Linked DNA regions of Mus musculus. The protein of the gene in region 2 purifies or fractionates together with the protein of the main gene of each other region. This does not show direct contact. Links are inferred from orthologs where the notes say so. Each region holds a gene or a part of one and is shown on either strand. Other genes may lie near its edges. The genes, in order: U2af2 and Hnrnpf.

Region 1 (14,702 bases), on a different chromosome or scaffold from region 2:
GGCAGGCGGATTTCTGAGTTCAAGACCGGCCTGGACTACACAATGAGTTCCAGGACAGCCAGGGCTACACAGAGAAACCCTATCTCGAAAAACCAAAAAAAAAAAAAAAAAAAAAAAGGCAAAAAGCTACTTGCTAAAGGATCCCACATAAGAAAGAGAAAAACTAAGTTTTGAACTTATATATATATATATATATATATATACACACATATATATATATATACACATATACACACACACACACACACACACACCATATAGATAGATAGACAGACAGAGACACACACATAGCATCAATATATAGAAATCAATTTCTCCACTATAGGCCCCAAGACCCCAGGAGACCTTGATCCTCTCAGGGTCCTCTGCGTCACCCTTGTTCAGAACTAGTCAGGTACTGAGAGAGACAGGGTGCTAAGGGATTTGTTCACAAAAGATAAAAGGGCACCCTGACCTTTCCACAGCCAGGCACCTCGACGCCGTCCACGGGGCGGGGAATTTCAATGGATTTGACCAACCCATACTTGCTGCACTCGTCTCGTACGTCCTCTACAATCTCCTCATACTCCTCATCGTCCAGCAGCTCCTCAGGCAGCACCATGTTCATGAGGCACAGGACCTCAGTTGGGTGACCGCCCATCTGCACCTGAGAGCTCATCAGGCCGGGCACTTGAAGGGTCACAGGTGTCTGATTGATGGTGCTCTGTGGGGTCAGGGAGAACAGATCTGTCACAAAATGGCTCAGACTAGCCTCCCTCCATTCAAGCCTGTGCCTCTTACACCCAACTAGTGGGACCATTCCTCTACTTAAGCACTTATGAACCCAGTGCCCAAATCCCCTCCCATGAAAACTGGGGCAGAACTCAAGAAAACCTACCCATCCAACCCTTCCCACCCCCAGGGTCCCTCTAGCCAATGGAAGATGACGTGCCGGGAGGCTCACCAGCGTGGCATTCTTGGCTCCCACACTCGCCCTCTGGACAAGCAGCTTCTTGTCCCCTAGCTGCATCCCATTCAGCCCCGCAATGGCCTATGGTCAGAGGACAAAGGGTGGAAAGGGTGCAGGAAAAGCAACAGGTCAGGAACCAAAGGACCAGGCATTGGTGGGGAAAGAATGAAAGGCAAAGGGCTTTTAAGATTGGAAAGAGGCAAAACCAAGGGAAAAGGAATGAGTCCCCACAAGGCTTTGCTTAAGACTAAACACCCTGCCCCACCCCACCCCACCCCACCCCACAGCCTGAGGAGAGGATACCTAAGGTTAGAAATAAGAGTAGGGTTAAGGGCAGATGGAATGAGCAGCTACTCAGACTCACCTGATCTGTGACGTTGATGTCCACGTACTCACAGAAGGCATAGCCCTTGGAGAGCCCTGTGGCACTATCCTTAACCAAGTTGAAGGCCTTGAGAGGCCCAAAGGATGTCAGCAGCTCTTTTACCTACAAAGGGCCAAAAATTCATCAGGGTTTGGTCAGGCTGACAAAGGTAGCTAGCAAAAGAGCAGAGGATTTACCTGGTCATCATTTAGGTAATTGGGCAAACCCCCGATGAACAGCTTGTGGGCAGAATCTGGGACTACAGTGGATACAACTCCTAAAGACAAAAATGTATAAAGACTTCAATTCCAATACAAAGTAATTTCCCAACATCCAGGAAGAAAGCTGTGACTGGTGACACACACTTGTCTTTTCAGCACTTGGGGAGGCTAAGGCAGAAGAATCAGTCTCTCAAAAAAAAAAAAAAAAAAATCTACCATGGATTCACAGGTCCTATCTACTTAAGATACCATGTAAAGGTGGGAGGAGGCCACACTAAATCCCCTTATTCTGACAAGTATACAAGCATAGGCCAGCCAACAACTGAACATGAAACATTCCCGAAGAACTGACAACCACCCACCAACATCTCATCCCATTCGGTTGTTCAGTCCTTTGCCCTGTATCCATAAGCCCCTGCAGGGGTGACCTGCATTCTGAGGTAATGTGACAAGGAGCTGAGAGGCTGCTCAGAGTCTCAGAACATGCCTCAGTGTTGACTGCCACTGTAGTGATGACTAATGGTCAACTCTTCGAAGCTGTGTTCAGGATCCATTAAAGCTCTAATATAACTACATGGTGCTATCACCTGAGGGAGTCTGCACCACTTCTCTACTCAACTCACATAGAAGTGACGGCCAGATGTTTCTTAGCACACCCCACAAGCTTCACCAATATTAGCATTTAATTCTTAGAGTCAGTATCAGGCCCCTGCATCAGTCTGGCTACTCTGTATGGCTACCCTTTTCAGCCCTGCATCAGTCTGGCTACTCTGTATGGCTACCCTTTTCAGCTCTCCCCCATGCTAAATGCAGTGGTCCATCCTAATGTACAAAAGCATCAAGATAATGACTCGACACACCCAGAACCTGAGTCACTGTGCCCCACCCATCTTCTAGGCTGGCTCTGCCCCACTATAACTCTTTAGCCCCAAAGAACTGCAAGCATCAATTCAGCTATTTCTAACTATTAGAAGTGCACCCCAGTAGTCAAGTTATCTAGACTGTGCAACAGACCTAAGTTACAGTGCAACTATGACAAGCAGAAGCATTAACAGCCAGGCCATATCCAGTACTGCCATAAGCCAGAGGACAACCACTTTAAAAATCTATCTGGGGCTGAAGAGCTGGCTCAGCAGTTAACAGTGCTTGCTGCTCTTCCAGGGGGCCCAGGTTCAGTTCCCCAGCACCCACAGGAGGACTCATAACCACTCCTAACTCCAGTTCCAGGGAATTCGTCACTCTCGTCTGATGTCCTTAGACACCAGGCATCCAAACAGTATATACTTATATGGAGGCAAAAGACTCATACCTTAGGTACAAAAGCCCTAGCTTAAAGCAAAAGAAGTAAAGTTCTAAGAGTAGGAAAAGGGTGACTTCAACAGAGCTTTTCTAAAGCAGCTCAGCAGGCTTGACTCTGCACCAGTCTCTGACAAGTAAGCAGCAAGGCAGCAGCTGGACCACAAGCCCAATCTGGTAATCACTGTGACTTATCACTTCTCTCTCAGAGGGAGAACAAGGTAGGACCCAAGCCAGTTGTCCTAACTTCAATTCTTTGCTGTCTACAGCTAGAGAAAAAGGGAGACCAACACACTACAAACAGGGCGCATACAGAAGCATTCTGCTACACTTAATCCAGGGATACAAGGTGCTAACACTGGTGACTAAGAACAACAACTTCACTTCCACAGAAATGAAGCGCAGCGTCCACTACAGGTGATGTCAGTGTAAGTTATCAGTCCATTCTCTCCCCAGGAAGAACATCAGCCTTCCAATTTACAAATCTTTTAACTCTATCATCAATACTTATTGGATTTCATCAAATGCTTTTCCTCTCTAGTTTATTTAGTGACCTTTGTTTTTCTCCTCTGGAAGTGGAAGTTGAAAAAACAAGACAGAATTCCACTTGTTGCTGCCTCCTCCAAAGTGGTAATTTTGTGCAGAAGCACAGGCAGACCTGGAGGGCCAGGTCTTCAGACAGGCACATCCCAAAGAGACACAACACAGGACTGATCTTCCTTCTATTGTTTAATGGAAGCAATGTAGAGACTCCCTGTGAAAGAGGCCCGTCACTTAACAGCATGGCCCAAAGCAACTATGCCTGTTATCTACATGTTCTCAGTAGAAAGTTTAACATGAAAGAGTACAGAGAAAAGCTGAGCTAGGACTCCTAGGCCAACCTGTGCAGCCCAGAAAACCTATGAATTTCGTGATCACGAACAATTATTATTATTCACCACTCCTGGCTTTCCTCCTCTGTAAAGTGACAATTCCATCCACGACATGTGATGTGGCACATGCTTGTGATCTCAATACTGGGGGCAGAAAATCAAGTTAAGAGGCCAGTCTAAGATACAGTTATACCATGTGTCAAAAAACTACAGCTAGGCCTGCTGGTACAAGCTTATAATCCAACTCTGCAGGAAGATCCAAAGTTCAAGGCCTCCCTGGGAAACACAGAGAAAGCCTGCCTCAAACTACTAGTAAAAAGGCTGAGAGTATCCCCATGTGGCGAACCACCTGCTTAGCATATGCAAGGCTCTAAGTTCAATTCCTAATACCACAATGAGACCAGTAATAAAAGTAATATAAAAGGAATGACACTGTGCCAAAATTTATTTGTAAAAACAAGCAGTGGGCCAGGCGTGGTGGCGCACACCTTTAATCCCAGCACTCGGGAGACATTTCTGAGCTCGAGGTCAGCCTGGTCTACAGATCGAGTTCCAGGACAGCAAGGGCTACACAGAGAAACCCTGTCTTGAAAAACAAACAACAACAACAAAAAACCAAGCAGTGGGTCACAACTGACTTCCAAGTCATAATTAGCTGAGTGAAGGCTAAAAGAAGATTCAGGAACAGGCAATACCTGGCATGCCACACTGTGTCAGTAAAACCAGCAGGTGGCTGTCTATTCATGGAATTAAAGAGCAATCCAAACAATGAATTTAGTGCCAAGAGATACAAAAAAAAGATGTTCTACAGCTTCACCTGAAAGTCAGTAAGCAAGCAGGACCTAGTGGCACAGGGCTATAATCCCAACTACCCATGCAGCTGGGGGAAGGAGGCCCCCAAGTTCCAGGCCTGTCTAGGCAAACTTAGTGAGACCCTACCTCAAAATGAGAACTTAAAAAGGGGCTTGGGATTCAGGTTAGACAGTAAGTGCTTTCCTGACAAGCACAAGGACTGGAGTTCAAGCCCCAGTACCACTGTGAATCTTCTCCAAGCAATACTTTCAAGAGCATGCTAGCTTTAGACTCAGGTATGTGACCAGAACTTGCAGTAAGAAAGCATTCGGTAGTCAGGCCCTAACCCCAAGTCCTACACTACCAGAAATGTGCTCCTTCCTCTATAGAGAAGGGGTGACTTGACCTGGTTCCAGTGGGCACCCTCTGATGCTGAGCATCTACTCGGAGGACCCCACATTCACTGCAATCAGCCTCAGACCTGGGCCTCACTGACTCAGCTGGACCCCAGCACCAGTGTTTCCTGAAGCTCAGCAGGGGTCATACAGCCTGCAAATCCCAGCTCATCCCGCCTGACCTGCCAAAGGAAAGGCCAGCAAACTACAGCTAAACACTGAAAGATTAGTGCAGAATTGGGGGGGGGGGGGGGGGATCACAAAAAATCCAAATTTCTAATGACCCCGTCTGTAGCTTAAACAGTAAAGATCTATCGTGACCTACCAATCAGAGGTTATACTATATACAATTATAGGAAACAGTACAGAACACATGCCAAAGACATGGAATCAGTGAACACTAACATGCTAGGGCCACACACCAGAACCATGCAAAGATCTGTTGATATGTACTTACAAATACATAGCATACACAACACATCAAGCCCTAAAATCCCAGGGCTAAGGGGACAAGGTAAAAACAATGCCCAGACTGCAAGTCCCACACTTTCCAGGACACCTCTGATCTGGACCTGGCTCTGACATTTACAAGCTAAGCTAAACTTTAAGATTGAAGATCACAGATCACCACCTCAAAGGCCCAGGACACCTGCCAAGCTAGAAGAACATCCACAGCGCACACACACTATCTCCAAAGCAACTCTAGCTGGACTAAGTACAGGAACCTGGGTTGAGGAAACAGTGACTCCCCATACCACCCACCCAACGAATTCCCACTCACCAGGCACATAAACAGAGGGGTTCTCTGACATGCCAGGCAATGGCTGATAGTCATGAGGCCTTCGAATCTTCAATGACTGGCCCTGGAAGATGATGCCATCAAATGCCATGGCCTGGGTCGTCTCATCCACTGACCGGAACTGAAGGAAGAGAAACAACAGAGCTAAGGGGTAGGTTGGGACTAGACCAGCCCCCAAGACTCTTAACTTTCCTCCCACTTATATAAACAAACATAGTACCAAACCCATAATGAACAATGGGAACAAGCACTACCAGATAGCTTCTAGAAGCTCACACTCTAGAAAGCAATATCCTCGCACCCAGCAGATAGCAAGCACACTATCATAAACTCTGACAATGTTGGAAAGGGACCAACTGCTGAGAAGCCAGCATAGAAAAGTTAGGTCAACTAAGTTACGTGGCAATGACAGCCCAGGCTTTCTGATGAAGTGACATTAGTCTCCAAGAGTACAAATCAAAGTGGACTCTTATGGGCAATGCAGTCTGAAAAGGGAACACTGAAAAACCTCTTCCGCAGCCTTGGTCATGCCAACACCCCACGGTTTTTAGGAGTATGACCCCAGAGTCGAGCTAGGTCTTTACAGACAGTTCCAAACTAACGAACTGCCCAAACGTAACGTATAAACACCGAGAGTAAACTGCCTCAACCTAGGCCCCAAATAGGGAGAAACATCGAGCCCTCTGCAAGATCAATGTAGCCTAAGCAGAGTGGACTGGGCCAGAATAGTCTCAAAAACCAACAAAGCAGGAAGAAGCCACAAAGTCCTCCCAGTGAGGTAGAGCATAGGAAGGCATAAGGTAGGACAGGACTACAGAACTACTCCAGCAGCCAAATGGAAAATGAGCTGCAGGGAAAGCAGTCAGAGTAGGCAGCACAGACCATCCCTACTACCCCTTACCCTTATCACTGGAAAACTCACCTCCAAAAAGGCAAAATTCTTGTCTTGATTTATCTGCACAGCCAAGACTGGGTTGCCAGGGGCCTGAGTCAACCCTCCCAAGCGCATCTGGGCGTTGAAGAAGTCCATCATAGCCTCCTGCAGAGGGAATAGGAGACAGGGAAGGGCGGGGAGGGAGGTGGAGAGAGGAGGGGAAGGGTGAGAGAGGGAGACACAGAGGGGTTTGGGGGTAAGGGGAGAGGAATGGGGGAAGGGAGAACGGGGAGGGAAAGGGACAGTGGAATATGGGTCAGGGGTGTAGAGGTCAATAGTAGGAAAAAATGCAGGAGGAAAATGAGAAAACAGAGAAGAAGCAATACCAAAGGACAGGAGACAGGGAGCAAATGGGCCAGACAGGAGGACAGGCATGAGGGATGAGCCATGGAGCCCAAAAAGTTAGGAAAAGTTATTCAAGAAAAGATGAAAGGATGTGACAGCAAGAGGAAAAAAAAACAAAAACAAAAAACATGATGACACAAGGAAGAAATGCCCATTGCAAACAAGGCAGGAAAGGGTAGGAGAGCAACAGGCAGGAAGAGAAAGACAAGCAAAGGGACAGGAAGGGTGCCCAGAGAGGCAGAACAAGTAGAGTGCAGGGGCGGGGAGGGGTGGAGGAGCAGGGGAAGAAGGGGTAGGGCGGGAGGGGAGGAGAAAAGAGTGATGTGGAGGGATCTGGCCCTGGAGTCCGGGGGCTGGTTTATCAAATGTAGCAAAGTGCAGGTTGAGAAAGTCAGAATGGACCTTACTTGCCTTCAACGATGGTAGCAAACTTTTTGTTGCTACGAGGGATCTCAGCCCCACAATATTTCACTTTAAAGAGAAATGGAAACAACTCTTTGATCTCGGGATTCTCAGGGGGTGCCACGGGAAGGGGTGGGGGAGAGGGATGGGGGAGAGGAGCGGTGGGGAAGGTGGGGGAGGTCAGGACTACCAAAAACAAAAGAACAGCGACCATGGGAGGGATGTGGGGAAAAGGATGTGGATAGACGGCAGAAAAGGAGAGCATGTCAGAAAACTGTAGGGGCGTGCGTCTGTTTGTACGTGTGTTGAGTCTCCCTCTCTGTCTCTCTCCAACACGTAGGTACAATATGTAGGTGGGTACGTTATGTGTGTGTTTGATCCCTGGGTTGCTGGAGGAGGTTGGGGAAAGGGAGACGGGAGAGGGGAAGAGGAGGGAGGGAGGGGCCACCCCCAGCCCGGCCCCTGGCTGGCTCAACTCCATCCGTCCGTCTGGGAGGGGGCCGGGGGGTCTTGCAGGAACAGAGTCTGACGCGTGCAGGTTGGGGAAAGGGAATGGAGGGTGGGGAGGCACAGGGTGGGGAAACAGGGGAGAGGGCAGGGGTAGGAGGAGGGCAGTACCTCAGTAATGCCAAAAGGGATGTTGCCCACGTAGAGACGTCTGGCCTGTCTGGTCATCTGGCTCCCAACCACAGGCACTGGCGTTGGGGTCACAGCCAGACCATCAGGAGTCATGGTCGGGAGAAGGGCAGTGGCTGGAATCTGACCCGCAGCTTCAAGAGAGGTATAGAGAGTAAAAACCATCAGCAACCCTAAAACCAGGACCACTCAGTGTACACTGACCCTACCCAGCCACCCTCCAGACGATGATTTCAGGAAGCTCTTCAATCACCCAAGTCAACTCAGCAGTGGGGCCCCATCCAATACCCACTACTAAGAAGTCTGATTTCCTAAGCGGCCCACTGTGGAAGACATTCCCTCCTGCAGCAGCGCTTCCCATGGTAGGTACCAGAAGCCTTTGAGTATGATCCTTCAGATTCACCAAACATGTTCTCACACAGAACTTTAACTCCTAACACACACACACACACACACACACACACACACACACACAATATTTTAACCCCTACAACAGTCTATGGGAGGGAGAGGCCTACCTTGCATGGCCTTGTACTGCATTGGGGTGATGTGCTCAAAGCCAGGCGGTGGCACGTCCCAGTATTTACGCACCTTCTTCTTCTTCTCATGGCGGGGAGAACGACTGGGGAAGGGGGGAGGGGGAAAGTGGGGCAGGGCAACCTCAGTCTGACCAACACTGGGCCTCCAAGTCCCATAAGGGAACACCTCCCAGCCCACCACACCCTCCCACACATAAGCTCCACTCTCTCCAGGAGGGAGAGCTGGGCCTGGGCCTGAGGAGGGACACTGGCAGATGAGCCTCTTCCCCAGTGCTAGGGCCAGGGTGGGGATGCAAGGCAGGCAAATTGCACAGGTGAGGAAGGAGATAAGGGAGTGGACATGGGGCAGAAGGGGCAGGAAGAGAAGCTCACATCAATCCACCGTGCTCCTCTTTAGCGCCTCTGGTCAAAGGTTTGCTGAGGGGTGGGAGGGAAAGGGAAAGGTATGGGGAGGAGTGACTGGGGACCTTTGTCTTCCCCACACAACACACCATGCCCAAGGTCACTGAACCCCAAGACCAAGGCAGGACCGAGGAACATGCTGGCCCCCTCAGCCCTGCCAAGCCCCCCAACCCTACCATTCCCAGGAAAGAGGAAGTAATAAGCAGGAAGAGACTATGCCACTCTATGGAGAAACTGAGATAAGGAAGGAGGCTCTTCATATATCCCACACCTCCTTACCTAGAAGGAACAGAAAGAATGAGGGAACCCAGGAAAGGAAGATAACTCTAAATAACTAAACCAATAGCCCTGAGCTGGAAAATTAAGGCTCAGGCTTCAGGTACAGCCTGCCCTACTCCCAGAACACATCGGAAGAAGAAGAAACAGGGCTTCAAAACAGCCCCAAACAGAATGAGAGAACAAAACATTAACTGGGCCCTTAAAGACAGGGACAGCCTTGCCCTTAGAGAGAGGAAAAGGGAAAAAAAAAGTCTCTGTCCCCAGGAACTACTGCCCCCAGCAGTCCTTTAGCACTGCCAGAGAAACTGAAAGAAATCCCATAAACAGAGAAAACGGAGTTCAAGATAGACCAAGCAGTACCAACACAGAGACCAGTCATCCAGCCAGAGGTTCCAGAGCTCTAGTACCTTCGTCGTCTCCTATCCCGAGAGGCACTGCGCTGGTCCCGGTTGCGCCGATCTCGGCTCCTGCTCCTGCGCTTTCGATCTCGGCTTCGAGAGCGACTGTGACTACGCTTCCTGTGCCGATTCTCCTTGTCCCGCTCTGGACAAGTGTGAGAAGAGATGGAATGAGTGAAGAGAAAGTGCAGGCCCAGCCCACCCTGCGTGCTGGTGGCTATACCAAGACCCAGGGAGGCCTCCCCCCCAAGGGAAGGGATTTTAATAAAAGGAGACAACAGGCCTCCTGGGTCCACACACGAGTCTACAAGGACTCTGAGGAACCAAAGGGTCAGGGCCTGGAAATGCCCCCGGGGTGTAAGATACCTGAAGATGCTCAAGAGGAGCTGAGGAGCCAGAGAAGACAGAGGAAGCTGGCTCCTGTTCCCCCTCGAGGGCTGAGGGGCCTGACCTCAGGGTCGTCCCTGAGAGGGGCAGGGCTAGAGGCTGGGGAATCAAGAGACCCAATGATGTTTTCCTGAAGAAACCCACCAAACCCTCAGGAAAAACCTCTGCAACCAGCTGGTACCCACAAGCCCCACCATCAGACCCCAGGGTCAGGTGCCAGGCAGACCTAGTAACCTTAAGAAGTGAGGAAACTCAATTCCATCCCTTCCCAGCCAGGTGAATAATGCAAGAGTAAACACCCTCTGAAAGGGAGGGGCTTCTTTCTAAATGTACAGAAAGGAAGGAAAAGATACCTCCCAAACATTTCAACTCATGGTCCAGAAAGCCGCATCCACCAGCCCCTGGCTACCTCACTCCCTCAAAGCCAAAAGCAGGGTGGGCTAGAATAAGAACCTGTGTCTTCACCATTATCTACTGTTTCCTTTGCTTCTTTGCCTTAGAGGCCATGGCTACTAATAACAGAGCACAGCCTTGCAAGAAAAACTACAAAGCCTCAGAGGGCAAAGGCAGGCAGGTGGATCTGAGAGTTCAAGGCCAACCTGGTCTACATAGCAAGTTCCATACCAGCTAGAGGTACATTAGTTGGGTTCCAACTTAAACCAAAACACAATATAACTCCTATTCTGCAGACTACCCACTTCAGGTAGACGCTAAACCAGGATCGCCTTAATACATTTTCTTAATTCCAAAGTACCACCGATCTCTCAACCATCAACCCACGCACCCATACAGAGCAACACAACCAGGAGTGATGAGGCATGTGGCAGGCTGACACAGGAAAAGAAAAAGAGTTGGCTAGTGAGTTAAATTAAGATCCTATCTCAAAAACAAACATACTCAAGAACCGAAACAGGTGTATCCCAAAAGTATTGACTTCTAAGATTGGCAGTAGGAAAAAAAAAAAAAAAAAAAAAATCAATGAGAAAATTTTCAAAGTAGATTTTAAACTCACCTCACATTTATATTATGTATTTTTCTGTTGCAGTAAGTAGGAAAATTTGAAATCTTTAACTCCTTTACTAATACTAAAAAAGCAAAAAAAAAAAAAAAAAGCCCAGCGTGGTGGCGCACTTGGGAGGCAGAGGCAGGCCGATTTCTGAGTTCGAGGCCAGCCTGGTCTACAAAGTGAGTTCCAGGACAGCCAGGGCTACATAGAGAAACCCTGTCTCGGGGAAAGAAAAAAAAGCAGTGAAGCCCAGACTGAAATTGTAATGCAAGTAAGTTAGGTACCAGGCTGTATTCTGGAATGAATACCAAGCAAAAAACATTCAGTACAGAGTCTGGGTTCAACTACTAACAGAAAAGAATTTGCATGCATACATGCAAAGAATAAAATAAAACAATCAAGAGCTAGACAGAGGCAAGAACTGTGGAATATTGAGACAAGCACAGAACCAGGCAGCTCTGGCTCCACACCACGAAGAGGGGCCACTTACAAATCCCAAATGTCTTCCCTGCTGCTAAGTCTCAAAAACAAAGAACCCCAGAGATGAAGTGACAATACCAAGGGCCTAGGACACAAACTCCCAGTAGACTTAAGGAACTGAGAAGGGGGCTAAAGTTGAGATAGAGTGAGGCTGGGTCAGAGACAAATACCCATAGGCAAGCAAGGTGACAAAGTGGTCAAGCTTTCTTCCAGCAAGACAAGAACCTTCTCCCACATAATGATGCTGGACAGTTAAGAAAAGGAAACTTCACTTGCTCAAAACGCTATAATGTAGTTGTCTTATGTACACAACTCCAACAACTGGCCCTTCTAGGCCAGGTCTCAGGCCCTGTTGCCAACATCAGCAGGGACACTCGAGAACTACAAGGAACTGGCTTTGCAGTCAGAGATCTACACAAAAGCAGGAACTTAGCTTTAACATCCATTTTCCCCTTCCTTGAATGAAAGTCAAATCTACACTACCCAGGTCTCATGAGGGAGTAAAATTTGCCATCCACTTTACCCACCCTTCTATAACAACACCAGTCTATTTGAGCCAAAATCCACCTATCTTCACAATACCAATTATAGCTAGTTAGGCACCTAGCATAACCCAAGCCACATGCTATATATACACACTGCTCCATTTCAACTCAGCTCCAGCTTTCCAACTAATGCTTGGAGCATTTTCTCTTAAGAGAAAATAAAAATAAAAACTAAATGAGCCTCAGTTTCCTGCTCAATAAACAGAAAACTATTTTGTCCTCAGAAGACTGTTACAAGTAATTCACTTAGAACTGTTTAGAGCCTGGTGGTGGTGGCTCACACCTCAAGCAGAAGGCAGAGGCAAGAGGATCTCTGTGAGTTCAAGGACAGCTCGGGCTACACAGAAACCTGAAACCTTCTCAGAAAAAAGCAGATTTTAAGAGTTTAACAAATTTCCTTGCCTTGACAAGGAAGGAGTTTAATTACAACTATAGTCAGTATGTACCACTAATTTCAAAAACCCAGTAAACAAAGCATCGATGATCAGCATACAGGTAACAGATTAGACTGTCAGATAAAGAGTAATGAAGGTATTTGAACTCAGGTATGTTCAATCCCTAAGCCCTATACTCTAAAGCAATACACTACTCAAAGCAGAAAAGCTCACCAAGGACACTCAGAATAATTACTTTTCCACGTGTACTGTTTTAGCTACTCTCTCCTCAATTCCAGCTTCATTTCAAATAATTCTCAAGGTCTCATCCAGTGCCCCAACACAAGACAGCTTAAGTCTCAACCCTCAAGAAATTTAAACTCTTCGGTCTCAAAAAAGAAGAGGTTGTAGAGAATGTCTTGTAAATCAACGTTTTCCTCGGTATCCCTAAATCCGCCAGCACCAACATAGCCTGCTTGCCTTTCTGATCCAAATTCATAGTACAAGATCTTACCTTGGGAGCACCTGCCTCCACTAACCTGTTAATGGGCCAGCTCCCTCTTCCCCATTCTGTTGAATATTTTACAATCCCTATAGTGTAACTGGCTTTAGGTACCCGAGTTTGGAATGATACAGGACCTGGGCTTTGCCTAAAACCGATAAGTTTAGGGATTGTTAGGGATATGGAAAACAGATATTGTCTGCCGCCAAAAAAAGCCCCAAGGCATACATGATTTATGCTCAACAGGAGCACAAAGAACGCAGACTTCCCTCTTTGGCGGGCAAACAAGTGTAGGACACATTTTTATCTAAGACACCGCAAAGCCGGAGACGGAGACGGAGACAGAAACATCGAGGTAGGAGAGTTCTGGAGAAATCAAAAAAATATGAACAGGCTCGAAACCTACAAGCAGCGGGAGATTGCACTGCCAGTCCACGTGAAGGAAAAGGAAAGGAGGGGGGGGGGCTGATTCACCACCGCCATTTTGGAAACAAAGGGGGCGTGGAGAAAAGAAAAGTACGCACGACCGGAAGCGGAAGTGCCAAGGCAGCAAAAGAAAATGACAGAATTTAGAGACCAAAATTCATCTTTCTCAAGTAAAAGACAAAAATTTAAAACGACAACAGAAAAGCTTCACATTACGGAATCCCGCGCGCTCTCAAGGCATCTACTTAACAAAACGCGCCGCCTCCGCCGAGACCACGTGGGCGCGGGCTATTGCGGCGCGCACGCGCCCTGAGCCTCGCCCGCCACCCCTTCCCTCAGCGCCGAGAGGAGGTCACGTGAGCTCGGCGCGCGCGGCACGGACGGGGGGGTGGGGGGGTAGCGTGCGGCCCTAGGGAAGCGAACAAGAGAGGGAAATGGCGGGGGGGCACAGGGCGAAGCAAGAAGCCACCCCACAACCCCGGCGCCCTCACCTTGTTTATTCTCGTTGAGCTGCCGCTCGAACTCGTCGAAGTCCGACATGCTTAGGCGGCCGCGTAGGGCCCTGTGCAGCTCTCGCCTCGCCTTGCCGCCCGCCCGCTCCGGCTACTTCCGCCGCTGGCTTCGGCTACTTCCGGCCCCCGCCGGCACTCCGTCGCCTACCTAATCAAGCCCCAAGCCCCGCCCCTCCCAGGCTCCACCCCCTCGTCCCGCCCGACCCGCCCCCCCCCGGAACTTCCCCGAGCTCGGCTCCGAAGCCTGTCGGCTGTTCTCGGACGGAGCAGTCGGAAGGCGGCGGTCGCCGTCAAAATCACCCGAAGCGAGGATTATGCCGGCTGCCCGAGTTTCGGTAACTTTTCGGAAACTAGCGTTTCAACGTTCGGAGGATTCCGCGAGTCTTCGCGTTCCCCGACACCAGCCCCCTCTAAAGACACGGATTTTCCTACAACTCAAACCGTCTGTCTCTGGCCTCCTCTGGAAATCCGTCCCACCCCTCGCCGACCCTGTCCAAGCGGTCAGTCACTTCCAACAATCCTAACCGTCCGGGCCTTCGGCTCTTTCCGAAGGTTTCCAGCGCTCGCTCACCGCCCCTCTAGAGATTAAGCCCGATTCTAGTCTTCGGCTCTTTCCGGAGGCGCCACAGGGTCACTCCGCCCCTTCCGGAGAATATCGGTCCCTTCCGCCACTGCTTCGGGAAGGTCTCACGCCCAGGAGGGAAGTTCGGCTCTTTCCGCTCTTGCTTCGGCTCCTTTCGGCTTAAAGACCCGAAAAGGGAGGGAGGACTGATGGGAGGTGGGCCAGATAGCTACGGGGGAGGGGGCGGGGTCTCAGCTTTCGGTCCCTAGCTCTCTAGGAGAAAAC
Region 2 (15,407 bases):
GCTTTTTCCAAAAAGCTTTTGCAATCTTCCTGCTCCAGCCTCTTGAATGGAATGCTGTACATAGACTCCAGACCAGCTCAGCTACTTCCTCCTATGCTCTTGACACAAATGAACACTGACCACAAATTTCTATTTGTACAATCTGTGGATGTTCCAAAATAAAGGAATTGGAGCTGAATGGTAGCACTGCAGATACCTATTATCTCAACATTTGGGGAGCTGAGGAAAAAAGAATTTTAAAAGAATGAAAGAGGGATTCAAAGAAAACCATATGCACACCTTCCTGTTTTTCCAGAAAGCTAGGTAGAATTTGGCTCCTGTACACAGGTCAGGCAGCTAATTCTGGCTTCTGTGGGTTCATTTCATATATTGTTACAGGAAGGTATTAATAAGAAGTTGGTGGGGCTGGTGAAATGGCTCAGTGGGTAAGAGCACCCGACTGCTCTTCCGAAGGTTTGGAGTTCAAATCCCAGCAACCACATGGTGGTTCACAACCATCCATAAAAAGATCTGACTCCCTCTTCTGGATTGTCTGAAGACAGCTACAGTGTACTTACATATAATAAATAAATTAATCTTAAAAAAAAAAAAAAGAAGTTGGTTTTCAACAGACAAATCCTAGAAACAGTTGTGAGGTAGTAAGACTTAAGATTTATCTAGAAATTATCTATCTGCAGTGTATAGGAAAATGTCCATCACTGAAAATCTGTTGGAGCTAAATGGCAGTTCATTTCATTTTTTTCCTTTGTTTGAAATAGTCCATTATAAAAATGCTACCAATCCCCAAAGTCTTGCTTATAAAAACTCAAATTTGAGTATGTTAGTTCAAGTAGGCCTAACTCAAACCCTAGGTTCTATCCCTACCACCAAATAAACCTAGTATGGTGACTGAGGAGTTCAAGTGTTTGTATGTGCCAAAGCACTTGAAGACAGAAAGCTCAGAAACTCACACCTAGTGGTAAAGGTGACTGTGGCAAAGCCTGACCACTTCTTGAAGCAAACATGGTGAAGAGAACTGACTTTTACAAAGCTATCCTCACATAGAGGGAAAAAATGAATAAGGGTTGAGGGGTGGCCAACAATCAAGAGGCAGTGCCCAGCCTGGTCAACATAGCCAAAGCTACAAAGCAAGATGCTATCTGTTCTCAATAAGCAGTTTAAGATCATCCCCTGGAATACTGAATTCCAGGCCAGACAGGGGTTACAGGAGACCACACCTAATAAAAAATCACCTAATCTTAAGATTCTAAATCCCGTCATCAAAAGTAGATAAATAATTCATATTATGAAGTGAAACAGTACTAAATGAAAATTTGAGCCTTGTAGGACAGCACAGACATAATTTTTACATGTTTAAGGCCCTCTGTGAGGACCCCATGGCTGAGAAAGAGAAATCTAGGTTGTTTCTACCAAGAGTACTACTACTTAGGTCTTAGGAAAAAAATCTTGGTGTATTGTATTACTTACCTAAATATGTGTGGCACTTAGGTAGTTGAATGTAATACCTTCTTCAATTAACTGGTTTGTGACTTAGCATGTATCACTAGTGTTCAGTTTCTTACCGTAAGAGAGAAAAAAGATATACACTGACAGAAAAGTGAGTTTAAGTCAGCTTCAGAGGTGAGCGCACCTATGAAGTCTTAATATGGTACTTTGTATTCTAAAATCAATGTTTTGTTTGGTTTTGTAGCACAGGCTAGCCTTAAAACTCTTGATTCTCTACCACTACCTCCCTAGTGGTACAGATCATATCATTTCACAAGGCTAACTCAGGAGATGTCAAGGCCAGCCTAGACTACATACAATAGGTTCAAAACCAGCCTGAGCTACAAGATTTGGGGGGGGGGGATGTGTGTGCGCGCGTGCACACACACACACACACATCACAGTTATTTGCATAAATTGTACACATATATGTGTCTCACTAAAAATACTGCATACTTACAAAATGCAGGCACTAGCTCACACCTGTAAATCTAACACTTCCAAAGTACTGGGATCAGGAGATCCAGGTCATCCACCACCACAAAGGTGAGGGACACAGTCAAGTCAGCCTGGGCTGAAACCGGGTTAAATCTTTTTTGAAAAGATGGTATGGAGGCATGCTGTTTTTTAATCCCAGCACTAGGAAGGCAGACAGATTTTAAAAGGGGTTAGGAAAAAGGGATAATATGTAGCCAGGTTCACCTCAAACTTTACAGGTACCTTTTTGTTGAGACTAGACCTTGAAGAGTCTAGGCTTGCCTGTAAGTTGTGTCCTGGCTGTCTCCGCCTCCCAAATGATGGGAGGGACTACAGGTATGCAACCATAGCAGATCCATCTTTTTAGCTGTATTTTCTGGTGCTTGGGAATGGAGTGGGATCATAGCCAAGGTCTTGTGCATGTTAGGCAAGCACTCAAATCACTGAGAAAACTCAGTCCTATACTAGCTATACTTAGTTCAATTCAGGAAGTCAATCATTTCTTCCTGTCATGATCTCACCTAGAAATTAAGACATGTACCAATATATACATACTGCACTTAGTTTCTCAGAAATGGGTCTAAACTAAGAAGTCTGACCCAATGGGTACTACATTTCAAGTCCAACACACTACTCTAAAATATAGTAAATAAAGGCCAAGAAGCTAACAAACAATTAAGTGTTACTCCAGCACTGTTTGTATTTACCAAAGGTAAGTCACGGGCTACAAAAAAAAACGAAGACACTGTTTTCCATCTTCTAACTACGAAGACTTTTTAAATTAACTTACTATATCTATTTCCCTTTATGTTCATTTCACAAAGCCTACGCTACTATAAAAAAAAATTCTTAATACTGACATAGATCCATATCTTTTAGGCTTACATTAAAAGTAACCAAATGCCGGGCGTGGTGGCGCACGCCTTTAATCACAGCACTTGGGAGGCAGAGGCAGACAGATCTCTGAGTTCGAGGCCAGCCTGGTCTACAGAGTGAGTTCCAGAACAGCCAGGGCTATACAGAGAAACCATGTCTCGAAATAAAATAAATAAAGAAATGAATGAATGAATGTAACCAAATGGACAAATTACGAAAAAGTAGAACACATTCATTACACTGAAACTACAAACTGAATTTCTTCTGAGATCATGTCTCATAAGCTATCCCTCAAATTGGTTATGTAGCTAATACCTTGTAAGAAGTCCTTATCCTCCAGCCTCCATCCCAAATACACACACACCACCAACTGGTCTATTGCTTGCTACCTTCATATATGTCTTAAGAACTAAGAAATCTATAGTAACAATGGAAAATAAGACAAATGTAGTCAAACTATGAAGCTCACTTATGTTTATGATTAAAGTATTGTCAGTAGACCTTCTGTCAATTGACTTGAAAATTCTATTTAGATTGGCTGGTACCTCTCCCCCCCATAGCAGCGGAGAAATGCATGTGTTGTGTAAACTGCTATAAAGAAACTACAACTAAAACGGTAGGACAAACACAGATCATGAGCCCCGTTGCCCTCTAACTCTTTTCCATAATAGTCAGTCACGGGCTAGAACTAAATAGGTTCAGGGGTCTCTGAACAGACCTCCATACCATATCAGAAAAGGATGGGTGATTCCTCAGGAGACCACAGAACACTTTACCAGGTCTCCTGTAACTTTCTACAGGAGCTTTATTTAAAAAAAAAAGGGGGGGGGGGCTACTGTAAACTCTAAAAGCCACAATACACTGCTTCTAGGATGGAGAATTACAGATGTAAGAGGAGAATGGAGCTAAGAAACTTGAGTGTAAGAGTGGCTCTAGCAGGGACAATTACCATACTTTGAATGTAGGCAGTTTCAGGGAACAAATGCCTAACACCACCATTAATATTTTAAGGAGAAATTACAAAACAGCACTTAAAGATGCCGTACTATGGAATCAAAACTTCTTAATATTTAAACATTTCCTTTTTATTTTTAAGATTTTATAATTTCACATGTATCTTGTATGCACCCATACTTTGTATTCAAGTACACATGCGTGACTCCTACCAATACATTCCTACATATGGTTGTTAGTCACCATATGGGTGCTAGGAATTGAACCAGGTTATTCTTAACCTATGCCATCTCTCCAGCCCCCTATTATTTCATAAAGTCTGAATATTTTACCTGTAGATATGTATATGCACTGCAAATGCTACTTAATGCCTGCAGAGCTCAGCCAATCTCCTTCAAAAGAGGAGTTAGAAAATATCATTTGGACATTGGAAAAAGAAGAAAAAAAAAAATCAAACCCAGGTTCTGGATAAGAGAAACAAATGTTCTTCAGGGGCTATGCTATCTTTCCATTTCCAGTACCTGAATTTTTTTATTCTATCAAAGTACTCTGGATTCTGGATTTACTATGGTGTCCTGTATGTTGAGGTTACATGCAAGCTACTCCTCTATCGCCACTCAATTTTGACTTAAATTTGAGTAAATACCAAGAACAATGGTCTTCCTAGAAAAAACTTGAAAATGAGATTTCTGGAAATATACTTTTAAAAGGGGGTGATGGGTAGGGGTCTTGTTTTTCAAGATAGGATTGGTTTCTCTGTGTAGCCCTGGCTGTCCTGGAACTTGGTTTTGCAGGACAGGGAGGCTTCAACAAATTCAGGGATCTATTTGACTGCCTCAGCCTTCCTAGTGGGAAATTAAAGGTCCTGCCTCTGTACCACCACCATTCCTGGCAATAAAAAACAAGGTCTTACTGCAGAGGATGGCTAGCCCAGAACTTGCACCTATCCTTTTGCTTCTGCTTCAAATCATCAACATACAAAGCAGTTAACACCTTGACTAAGTGGGAGCAATAATATCTCAAAATTTTAACCATTACTCTAAACCTACCAACTCAGGAGGCAACCACAGATGAGAATCTGATGTTCTAGCAAGCCAGGGCTACATGGTAAAGCCACGTCTTAAAAAAAAAGAAAAGAAAAGAAAAGAAAAGGAAAGGAAAGAAAAAGGAAAGGAAAGGAAAGGAAAGGAAAGGAAAGGAAAGAAAAGAAAAGAAAAGAAAAGAAAAGAAAAGAAAAGAAAAGAAAAAGAAAAGAAAAAAAATTAACCATTACATATATATTAATGGAAACAAAGCAAGATCTAAATGTTTTGTAAGAAACGCTATGTTGGCCCCTCACTCAAGATAGGACCTTGCAAACAATATGCTAACAAATGAAATGTGAAGTTGATGGCATATTAAGAACTAGTCGGGCAATGGTGGCGCATGCCTTTAATCCCAGCACGTGGGAGGCAGAGGCAGGCGGATTTCTGAGTTCGAGGCCAGCCTGGTCTACAGAGTGAGTTCCAGGACAGCCAGAGCTACAGAGAAACCCTGTCTCCAAAAACAGAATTTAAAACAAACAAACAAACAAACAAACAAACTAGACATTAAGTCTATAGGCCTCCACTAACTCAAATAGAAATAATCTGATAATCAGAACACCCAGACTGTAATGGTAATCTTACATTGGAATCCCAGCACCTGACCAGCAGGAGTTCAAACCTGGGCTACACAGGCATCTCTCTGGGTACATGGACACAGTGACTTTACATGTGGCACTCCTGCACTCAATCTTAGCAGTGGAAGGAAGACTAAAGCAAGCATACTCCACTTTTTGAAATTGAGAAGGAGCTAAATTGTTGTATTCACCTTTAATCCCATCACTTGGGAGTCAGGGGCAGCCCAATCTCTAAATTCAGGGACAACCTGGTCTACAGAGTGAGTTCTAAGACAGCCAAGGCTACACAGACAAACCCCGTTTCAGAACATCAGAGGGGAAAAAATTTAGACCCTAGGAGTAGTGGTATACACCCTTTAGTCCCAGCACTCAAGAAATAGCAGAAGGTTCTGAGTTTAAAGCCAGCCGGATCTAAAGAACTAGCCACAGGTCAGCCAGAGCTACAACATAGAGACCCTGTCTCAAAAGCAAAATAAATAAAATTTTTAAGAGAAAGGGATGATAGGCACCTGCTGAAATCCTGGTGACCCCAGTTTTATCCCAGAAGACACAGTAGCAAAGTGGGCCAAAAGCTGTTCTCTGACCTCTCCATGTTACTGGTATCATCTGCCCACAACCATTCACTTGTGGGTTACACAGAGAACTGAAATTTTTTTGGTAAGCAAATGGTCAGTAGTTTTATTTCGGCATTTACTAAAGTCTTAAATATAATCACATATAAAACAAACATTTCAGAGTTCCAGGACAGCCAGGGCTACAAAGAGAACCCTGTCTTGAAAATCCAAAAAGAACAAAATAACCCCCCCCCCAAACAAAACCAAACATCTCAAAAGTACAAAATACAGCCAGGCGTGGTAGTGTACACCTTTAATCCCAGCAATTGGGAGGCAGAGGTGGGCGGATTTCTGACTTCCAGGCCAGCCTGATCTAGAAAGTGAGTTCCAGGACAGCCACAGCCAGGGCTATACAGAGAAACCGTGTCTCGAAAAACAAAAGAAAGCTGTTACACACACACACACCCCCTTGTATTAGCTGTGCTTCGTGATACATGCCTTTAATGCCAGCAATTCACAGCACTATGGAAGCAAAAGTAGGTGTGTTGCTTGAGTTTGAAGCCAGCCTTATCTAAATATACAGTAATTTTGCGCCAAGGCGTAATATAATAGTTAGACCCTACCTCAAGAAACAAGTAATCACTTTTGCATTTACTTTTAGATCCAGTGTGCCCAGGCCTTCCTTCAAATCAAACCATGAATCTTTTTTAAAAATTACTACAAAAACGGGCATAATACAGACAGAATGGGGCTGACAAAGCGTGCCTAAAGCCTGCCATGCCCAGTAACTACTAATGGGGTGTGGTCGAGTTAGTACTCCAATCTAGAGGTGGAGCTGAGTGATCTGGAATTCAAGGTCATCCTCTGTGGCTACATAATGATTTGTAACTTAAAAAAAAAAAAAAAGGCTGGTAAGACTAATGGCAACACGAGGGAGATAAGAAAAGCAGAAAGTTCAAAATTTAAGTCAGGATTTGGTCTGTAAGACTGTTCTCAACTGAGATCTACCTCCGAGCGCTGAGCGCAAAAGCATGCATAGCCACCCGGCGTACTCAAAAGTACTTCGACATTGTTCAATGGGCTAACGCACTTTTTGCCAGACCTTAGCTACCTGCGCTCAGTCTGAATACACAGATGGAAGAACTGAACCACGTTTTGACCTCCACTCCGCAGCACGAAGGGAAGAAAGACTTAAGTATTAACTATTTCCAGATATCGTCTGTCTTGTTCAACTAGAAGAATTAAATATTTAAACCACCCCCTGGACAGAGCGATAGATCATTGTGACAGGGACCCTCAATTCAATCCCAAGGACCCAGTGCTGGAAAAATCCATTTCTTCACCTTATCCCCTCACCTCCACGCACAAATAAACATTAAAGGAAACCGACTAAAATAAGCCCAAAAGTTCCGTAAACAAAACTGCCCAGGTTCAGGAGACCGATCCCGCACAGCCACATGGCGGCCACCCGCGCTCGCTCGCCCGCTTACTCCGCAGCCCGACTTGCAGGTAGGAAAGAGGCCCATTTGTTTGTTCCCGGACTGGCAGGGGCAGAAAAGGTCGCTGGGTGGGAGTCTTAGGGCACATGGGGCTGCCTCTCCGATCCCGCCGGGTCGGGAAGGCTCCGGAGAGCACGCGCCGAGGGAAGGCCGAGCGGGCCCACCTCAACTTTTCCCAGACACGTGAGGCTCCACAAACACAGCACAAAAGTGCTCGTAACTGCGGCTAAGGCCGACTAACCCACCTAGGCAAAGACTCCGCACCCCACACGCTAACACGATACCTCTGGGGGACGGGACCGGCGCAGACCGGTGCTCCTAGCTCCCGGGCCGCCACGAGGAGGAAGCGAGGCGCTCGGCTTCGCTCGGGCCGGGCGTGGGCGGTGGGCGGAGCCGTCCCGCCCAGTCTTGTGAAACTCCGGGCGCCTCGGGCCACGTGAGCGCCCGCTCGTCTTTCTCCAAACTACAACCACCGCCCGGGCCTGCCGGGGGGCCGCTGACAGAGCGTAAGCCGCGGTGGGTGAGAAGCGCTCCACCCTCACCCCCCCCCCCAATATCCCGCCGAGGAAGCCGCGCCTGCGGGCGGGGTGGGGGGGCGGCTCTGAGGAAAGCCGCGCTTTCTCCGGGCGGGCGTGGGCCGCGGCTGCGGTCTCCCAGGCCCTCCGCACACCTCAGCCCAGAGGCCCGGCCCTACCGACCGGACTCCAGCCCTCAGTCCCCGCTCCCCCGACCGCACACCTCGGCCACGCGGCCCAATCCCCGTCGAAAATGCGCTGAACTTCGGCTCCCGACCCCAAACCCCGGCCACGCGGTCCCCAGCTCCGTGGGCAGCCTCCGCACGGCTATGGCTGTGCGGCGGCCACCTCGGCCCCGTTCCTTCCGAGTCCGGATCCCACGCCCGCCATCCAACGCCCGCCGGGCCCAGGCGCCAGCACACCCCGCCGGCGGCCCTCACCTCCGGCTTCTCGGCTCCACGCTCCCACTCACATCCGGACCTCGCCGGCCCTCAGAGCACCTAGAGGAGGGTGGAACCCCGGGGACTTGGCAGTTGTAGCTGAGGCAGTTGAGGCTTGTTTACTGTCACCATGGAAACCCCCACAGGCGCGCTCGCGGGACGGCCTCAGCGGGGCGAGTCAACCGCGCGGCCGGCCTGCTCCTCAACTCCCGCCTGCCGAGCGCCAGCGGCGCCTCCGGAAGCCCTCCTGATCCCCGGTCCGCTCCCCGCTCGGCCCACGCCCCGAGCACCCGGAAACAGTAGCCCGGGGAGCCCACTTTCCCTTCCCACAGCCGGCGTGACCGCGGGCTGGCCTTCCCCGAACCCCACCTTCAGGAAGACGAGGCGCAGTCCTCCTTCCACGACGGAGCCGGAAGGATGCAAGACGGTGATGGGGCGGAGCCTCAGGCAGCGGACATCCGGGCACAGGGCAGCCGCGGCGCCATTCTGACGAGCCCAGAACGGAGCCTAGGATTGGCCGGGGGAGGGAGAGGGGCGGGACTAGAGAGCTGTGGACCCGCCTCTGAGTCCCGGAGAGGACAGTGACGGCGCAGGCGCAAACATTGCGGGGGGGGGGTAGCAGGGGGAGGGGGCGGGCAAACGAGGGGGGGGGGGGAGACAGCAAGGTGGAGGGGGTTGTCCATAAAGAGACCTGTGGGCTGGTGAGTCGGTGGACGCTGAATTCTGCACGCGTGTCTCCGCATCCCGAAAAGTGATCCCAAAGGAATCAATGACCGCATGCGTGCGGAAAACTAGAATGGTGTCTTATGTAAAAGAAAGACCGCCTAAGGGCATCTCAGGCAGTCCGGAGGGATTTGTCTGAAGTTTCTAACTCTCAGCACTATGTGAACGCTGGGACAGATTTTCTTGATGTGTAATAATTTGGGAGGATTCTCTGCGAGATGTCGAGATACAAGCTAAAGTGAAGATTATTTTTGAAGCTTCCAGAGCCGCCTAGGCGGGCGTAGGAACACGAGCTGGTTCCTACGAACTCCATTTCTGCATGGAGGCGGCCGAGGCTACAATGCATGGTCGCGAGCTGCTGTCTATATAAACACTGGAGAAATTACAAGGCCGTTCAGAATAATCTCTGGTTATAAGTGAACTACAGTGATGAAGGAAACGTTTATAAAACAACACACCAGACTAACTCCAGAAAAAGGAAAGAAAACTTTGAGAGGAAAACCTGTCCAAGAAGAAAAATAGAAGTCAAATGATAGAAAACAGATGCTACAAAAGTTAGATAAGTATTCGTGAGCACTAAACCCAGAGCCTTGTAGTTGGCAAATTACATCCCCCACCTCTGATGTTTGTTTGTTTGTTTGCCCAGGGAGTGGGGCATTAAAATTGTTAAGTTCGTGCGAGTTATCACCACACTTTCAACTGAAGTCAGAGGACAATCCTGAGTGTTCTCTCCTTCCACCATGTGGGGTCCTGATCAAACTCAAGGTTGAAAGGCCTGTGCAGCAAGTTCTGCTGAGACCTCTCACCCTGCTCCTTGGGTGGTTTTATTTATTTTTAAAGTTCCTTACTATTGCCAGAGAAAGGTGCAAGTGACTTCTAACCTTGAAGAAGCCAGAGAGCAACTTTTCACAAGTATTTTCATTTCCCTTAGGTGAGTTCCAGGGGTCAAATTGAAGTTCCCAGATTTTTACAGCCAGAGGTTTCACTTTTGAGCTCCCTCTGTCTGACTGCAACCCAGGCTGGCTTCCAACTCTTGTTTTGTTTTGTATTGTTTCTTTTGGTTCCCCACACCCCCACCCTAAGACATGGTATCTCTGTTGTAAAGCTGGCTGTCCTGGAACTCACTATGGCTCCAATTCAGAGATCCACCGGCCCCTGCCTCCTGAGGCATAAAGTGAGAGATTAAAGGTGTGCCCAGCCACAACTGGTATTATTATTATTACTATTATTATTATTATTTTAGAAAAATAAAATGCAGAGAGGAATTGTCAAGGAAAAGAGTTACAATCTGTCCTGTTCCCTTACATTTAAATTGACACTTTAAATTTAAAGTTTTCAGATTCAGCAGATAGAGTGGCACAATACTTTAATCGCAGCACTCCTGAGGCAGAAGCAGGCAGATCTTTGTAAATTCTAGGCCAGTCTAGTCTACAGTGATCGTTCCAGGCCAGACAGTGCTACAAAGCTCTTTTACAGTCTCAAAAATAAAGAACTGAAGTGACCTTTCATCCTAGCACTGGAGAGGCAGAGGCAGGCAGATTTCTGAGTTCGAGGCCAGCCTGGTCTACAGAGTGAGTTCCAGGACAGCCGGGGCTACAGAGAAACCCTGTCTCGAAAAACTAAAAAATAAAAATAAAAAAAGCATAACAAATAAATGAATGTAAAATAAAAAGCAAAGTTTGAACATAGCAGGGTAAATGAGGGCAAGGGAGGTCACAGTTTTAGGTCCAGGTTATTCATATAGTTCAGGGGGTAAAGGCATTCACCACACAACTCTGGTGACTGGTGGCGTTTCATCCCCAGAATCCACATTTTAAAAAAGCCAGACGTGGTAATTCACATTTATATGCTGAGTCAAGATGGGAAGTGAAGAAGATTGGCCTGGAAGGTCAGTGGCCTGGACCATGCATCATGCCAAAAACGAGGGACCCTGCCTCCAAAAGGTGGAAGGAGAAAACCAACCCCCCAAAGTTAGCTTCCTGTACACACACACACACACACACACACACACACACACACACACGATAGACACATCACAATAGGTAATAAAATTTCAGGATCAGAAAGCTAACAAAATTGTTCTCTGTTTACATAAATTTCTCCAGAATACTGCTCCCTGTTATAGATTTCATAGTTTGAGCATGGCTGCATGTCGCCTTGACCCAGTTTTTATGCCCTAGCTAGATGCCAGTCTGCTCCTCTTGTTGCCACTGATGAATTCCATGAAGCCCCAGCCAGCTCCCTGATCAGGGCTCCTATACTATCCCGACTTGGATGAGAGCTGAGGACCAGACAACTAGAGAGCCACAAAGCCTCCAGGATTTACTCAGATGGCTAATCTTCAAGCTATACCCTGCTTAACCCCCATCCCCTCACCCCACCCCTGGAACAGCAGTGGAAATGTGTGCCCAGCGCTCCCCTTGCTCCTTCAGCCTCTTTTTTTTGAAATAGCATCTTGACTGTGTACCCAGGCAGGCCTTGGCCTAGACATCTTCCTGCCTTCTGAGTGCTGGGATTGTACATGTGTGCTACCATGCCTGGCTTCCCCTGGACCTCGTGAATTATCCAAGTAGCCCTGCACCAGGGTGCTGTGCTCACACCATATAACCAAGGACATTAGTCTCCTTCCCTGAATACCTGATTGTGTTATATGTCGTCGCAGTTACTCTGGTCCAACAAGCCCTGGTCCCGAAATGGGAAATTCTAGAGATAACTCGTTTTGTCTTGTGCCTTTTTCTGAGTAGCAGTGACATCTCAAGTCATCCTCCTTCCCACTCTGGCCCTCAACCATCCCTTTGTTCAGCATATTAGAATGCTGTACATTCTAACTTCCTATTAGTACAGTACAGTCAGATATGTTAAGCTAGATGTGGTGATTCACACTTGTAATCCCCAATACTCGGGACAAAAAGGATTGCTGCAAGTTCAAGGCTAGTTAGTGTTGGTCTATATAGGGAGTGTCAGGCCAACCTGGGTTACAAAGAGAAACCCAGTCAAAAAAACAAAAACAAAAAAACAAAAACAAAAACAAAGGACTGGAGAGATTTCTCTGCGGCTAAGAATACCTGCTGTTCAAAAAATAAAAAATAAAAAATAAATAAAAAGGCCAGGTGTGGTGGTGCACGCCTTTAATCCCAGCACTTGGGAGGCAGAGGCAGGGGAATGTCTGAGTTCAAGGCCAGCCTGGTCTACAGAGTGAGTTCCAGGACAGCCAGGGCTACACAGAGAAACCCTGTCTCGAACCAACCCCCCCCACCCCAAATACCTGCTGTTCTTCAAGAGTACCAGAGTTTGACTTCTAGCACCCAGGTCTGTTGGCTCACAACTGCCTGCGATGCCAGCTGATAGGGTAGAAGGTTGGTTAGGTGATCCAACTCCAACTCCCTGCTCTGGCCTCCACTACCACCACACATACACAAATAATAAAAAAGTAAAGACAGTATATGTGTATATGATGTGCATGCACACACAGGGCTAATTTTCATTTTCAACTGCCAAGCATGTTTAAGAATCTTTCCTTACCATGTCCTGAGAGTCTTGGCACCTATACCTGACGGGGTGATCAATGGAACAAAAAGGGTAGACACCATAGAAGGACAGACTCATGTACACACAGAAAAGCTGGGGACAGGGGAGTTGTGCTTATTTATGGAGCCACACCTACTACTGCAGCCTCTCCCCACTGCCCCGCAACATCCTGGAGGTTATCTAAGCCCAGGGGTTGGGGCTAGCTAGTCTCAGGAGAAGGTCTCAGTAGGCGCAGTTCCAGGTAATAGGCACCCGACCCAGGAGGAGAGAACTACCATGGCTAGTTTTTGCATACACTGCCAACATTCCCACTCAGACTAAGGGAAGGTGTTCCCAATTCCCAGCCTGCCCAACATGAGAAAGGCTTTGCTAGTTTCCAGTGGGTCTGAGGGCTTGGTTCCTGACTTGGTTATGCCTATGCCCACTGTACATAACCACCCGAGGCATGATCTGCTCCTCAGTTTAGCAGACGAGGAAGACCCACTATGAATGGCAACGGGACAAGGTTTAATAAATAGCGGCGGGGTGGGGGTGGGGTGGGGAGGGGTTACACAGACATGCAGGCAGAACAGTCATACACATAAAAGAAATCCTTTTTAACTTTTAAAAGGCACAGAAGAGAAAGCAAGTGAGTGCCAGCAACCATCTCTCTCTCTCTGACTCTGGGTTACAGACTTAATGCATCCACTTAGTGCACCCTGCCTTCTGTTCCTGCCCCCAGAGCTCACAGCCATTCTCAACATGTGCTCAGGCCCAGAACGATAGACTGTAGCCTGAAACTGAGCCAAAACCAACCCTCCCTAAGTCGCTTCTTAAAGCTATTTGATAACAGCAGCAAGATAGAAATATTTGAGAGGGACTACAGTTGTATAACTTATATTGCCATACATTATTTTTAGACAGGATCTTTTTCTCTCTTTTGTTTTCATTTGTTTGTTTGTTTTTGATTTTGAGACAGGATTTCCCTGTGTAGCTCTGGGTGTCCTGGAACTCGATTTGCAGACCAGGCTGGCTGAAATTCACAGAGATCCACCTGCCTCTGCTTTTAGTACACTACCAAACCTGAAAGACAGGATTTTTTTTTTTTTTCCGTGACAGAGTTTCTCTGTATAGCCCTAGCTGACCTGGAACTCACTTTGTAGACCAGGCTGGCCTCGAACTCAGAAATCCACCTGCCTCTGCCTCTGCCTCTGCCTCCCAAGTGCTGGGATCAAAGGCGTGCGCCACCACACCCCGCGATTTTTTTTTTTTTTAAGATTTATTTAAGCCATCTCACCAGCCCTGGTCTATACAGTTAATTCCAGACCAGCCAGGACTACATAGACTCTATTTCAAAGAATCAAATTAGCTAAGTTTGGCACCATATCCCTTTAATGCCAGAACTCTGGAGGCAAAAGCAGGTAGATATAGGTAGATATCTGTTAGTTTGAGGCCAGCCTGGTCTACCTACTAAATACCAGGTATGCCAGAGCTATATTATATCTTGAGATTCTGGCTCATTTTTTTTTTTTTTTTTTTAGGAAGGAAAAAAGAAGATTGGGATGGTAAAAGATTCAACTAGGCCATGACACCACCACCACCAAAAAGATAAGCAAGCCAGAGAAACCTAGGGAGATGGCTCAGTACATAGTGTTTGTTGCTCAAGCATGAGGACCTCAGCTTGGATCCCCAACAGGCACTTAAAAAGGGTGGCCAGTGAATTTCCATATCCCAGATACTGGGCTTTGGAGACAGGAGGAGGCAGGAAGAAATGGGCTTTCTGGCCAGACAGTCTAGCTGAACCCATGAGCTCCAAGTTCAGTGAGAGACCACCTCAGGAAATAAGCGAGAGACTGAGGAACTCAAGTGCCATTGATCAGTGACCTGTATACACACACACACACACACACACACACACACACGTTGGGGGATGGGGGAACACAACCAAATCAAATAGGACTCCAGCTTCCAGTGGACAAAGCCAACTTTCCTCAGAAGCTAGAATGCCTGCCCTCAGGTGCCATTAGCCTTCCCACCAGCCAGCTGCTCACAGAGCATCCCTAGATGTTGCAAAGTCACTATGGCTGTGTCCTACAGAGCATTTCCTGAACCACAATACCCAGAATGCCCTGCTGGCGATAGGGTTGCAGAGATTGGGAAACATTTGGAGGAGCGGCACCTTGGTGTCTGTGGCCTGCAGCAGTTGCCATTCTCTAACTATAGTTTTGGCTCCTGGTGCCCCCCACCCCCCACCCACCCACGCCTTGGAAACGCAGGGCAGGGGACTGAGTCACTTGGTGTAGGAGGCCCGCCTTCTACACACCCCACTACTAAACTCAGAGAACAGTTTCCAAGCCTGCTTCTCTGTGTTCCCTCTGTTGTGTAAGGACAAATCACTATAGCAGCCCATGCATACATTTCCTGTGGCTGTTTCTCCCTTTAATCCCTAACAGGTAAAGGAAAGGTCGTTACCTGGTCTAACTAGATGACATACGCCATGCTTCAGCAACTGGGGCTCACTCACAAGCTAGGGAGCCTCCTCCTCCTCCGGTCCCCAGTTGATTTCCTCCCTCCGTTGTTTTTTTTTGTTTTGTTTTTCTTCAGGCTCTAGCGGATGTAGCTCAAGTTGGTCTCAGACTCAATGCTCCACCTGCCTCCACTTCCTCAGCAGAAGCACAGGGACTTCCGGTGTGCAGCCCCAACTTCACAGAGTTCTC

Evidence for each region.
Region 1: the proteins of Hnrnpf (region 2) and U2af2 fractionate together in Homo sapiens (co-fractionation; 3 studies listed by BioGRID, with this or other methods). This does not show direct contact. The link is inferred for Mus musculus from reciprocal best matches to the Homo sapiens genes HNRNPF and U2AF2.

The regions. Positions count from the first base shown.
Region 1 is NC_000073.6:5,061,469-5,076,170, reverse strand, and holds the start of U2af2 (splicing factor U2AF 65 kDa subunit), read right to left. Parts: upstream 14,029-14,702; 5' UTR 13,884-14,028; coding exon 13,835-13,883; intron 10,110-13,834; exon of another isoform or gene 9,990-10,109; intron 9,769-9,989; coding exon 9,633-9,768; intron 8,962-9,632; coding exon 8,917-8,961; intron 8,628-8,916; coding exon 8,524-8,627; intron 8,140-8,523; coding exon 7,988-8,139; intron 7,439-7,987; exon of another isoform or gene 7,379-7,438; intron 6,728-7,378; coding exon 6,611-6,727; intron 5,810-6,610; coding exon 5,671-5,809; intron 1,591-5,670; coding exon 1,511-1,590; intron 1,437-1,510; coding exon 1,314-1,436; intron 1,031-1,313; coding exon 944-1,030; coding exon of another isoform or gene 932-943; intron 704-931; coding exon 455-703; intron 1-454. UniProt on the Homo sapiens protein: Plays a role in pre-mRNA splicing and 3'-end processing. By recruiting PRPF19 and the PRP19C/Prp19 complex/NTC/Nineteen complex to the RNA polymerase II C-terminal domain (CTD), and thereby pre-mRNA, may couple transcription to splicing.
Region 2 is NC_000072.6:117,900,262-117,915,668, reverse strand, and holds the start of Hnrnpf (heterogeneous nuclear ribonucleoprotein F), read right to left. Parts: upstream 8,888-15,407; 5' UTR 8,830-8,887; exon of another isoform or gene 8,560-8,829; coding exon of another isoform or gene 7,828-8,559; exon of another isoform or gene 7,751-7,827; intron 7,566-7,750; coding exon of another isoform or gene 7,464-7,565; intron 4,869-7,463; exon of another isoform or gene 1-4,868. Other genes in the region: uncharacterized protein 4933440N22Rik, read left to right, coding at 7,464-7,565, 7,828-8,559.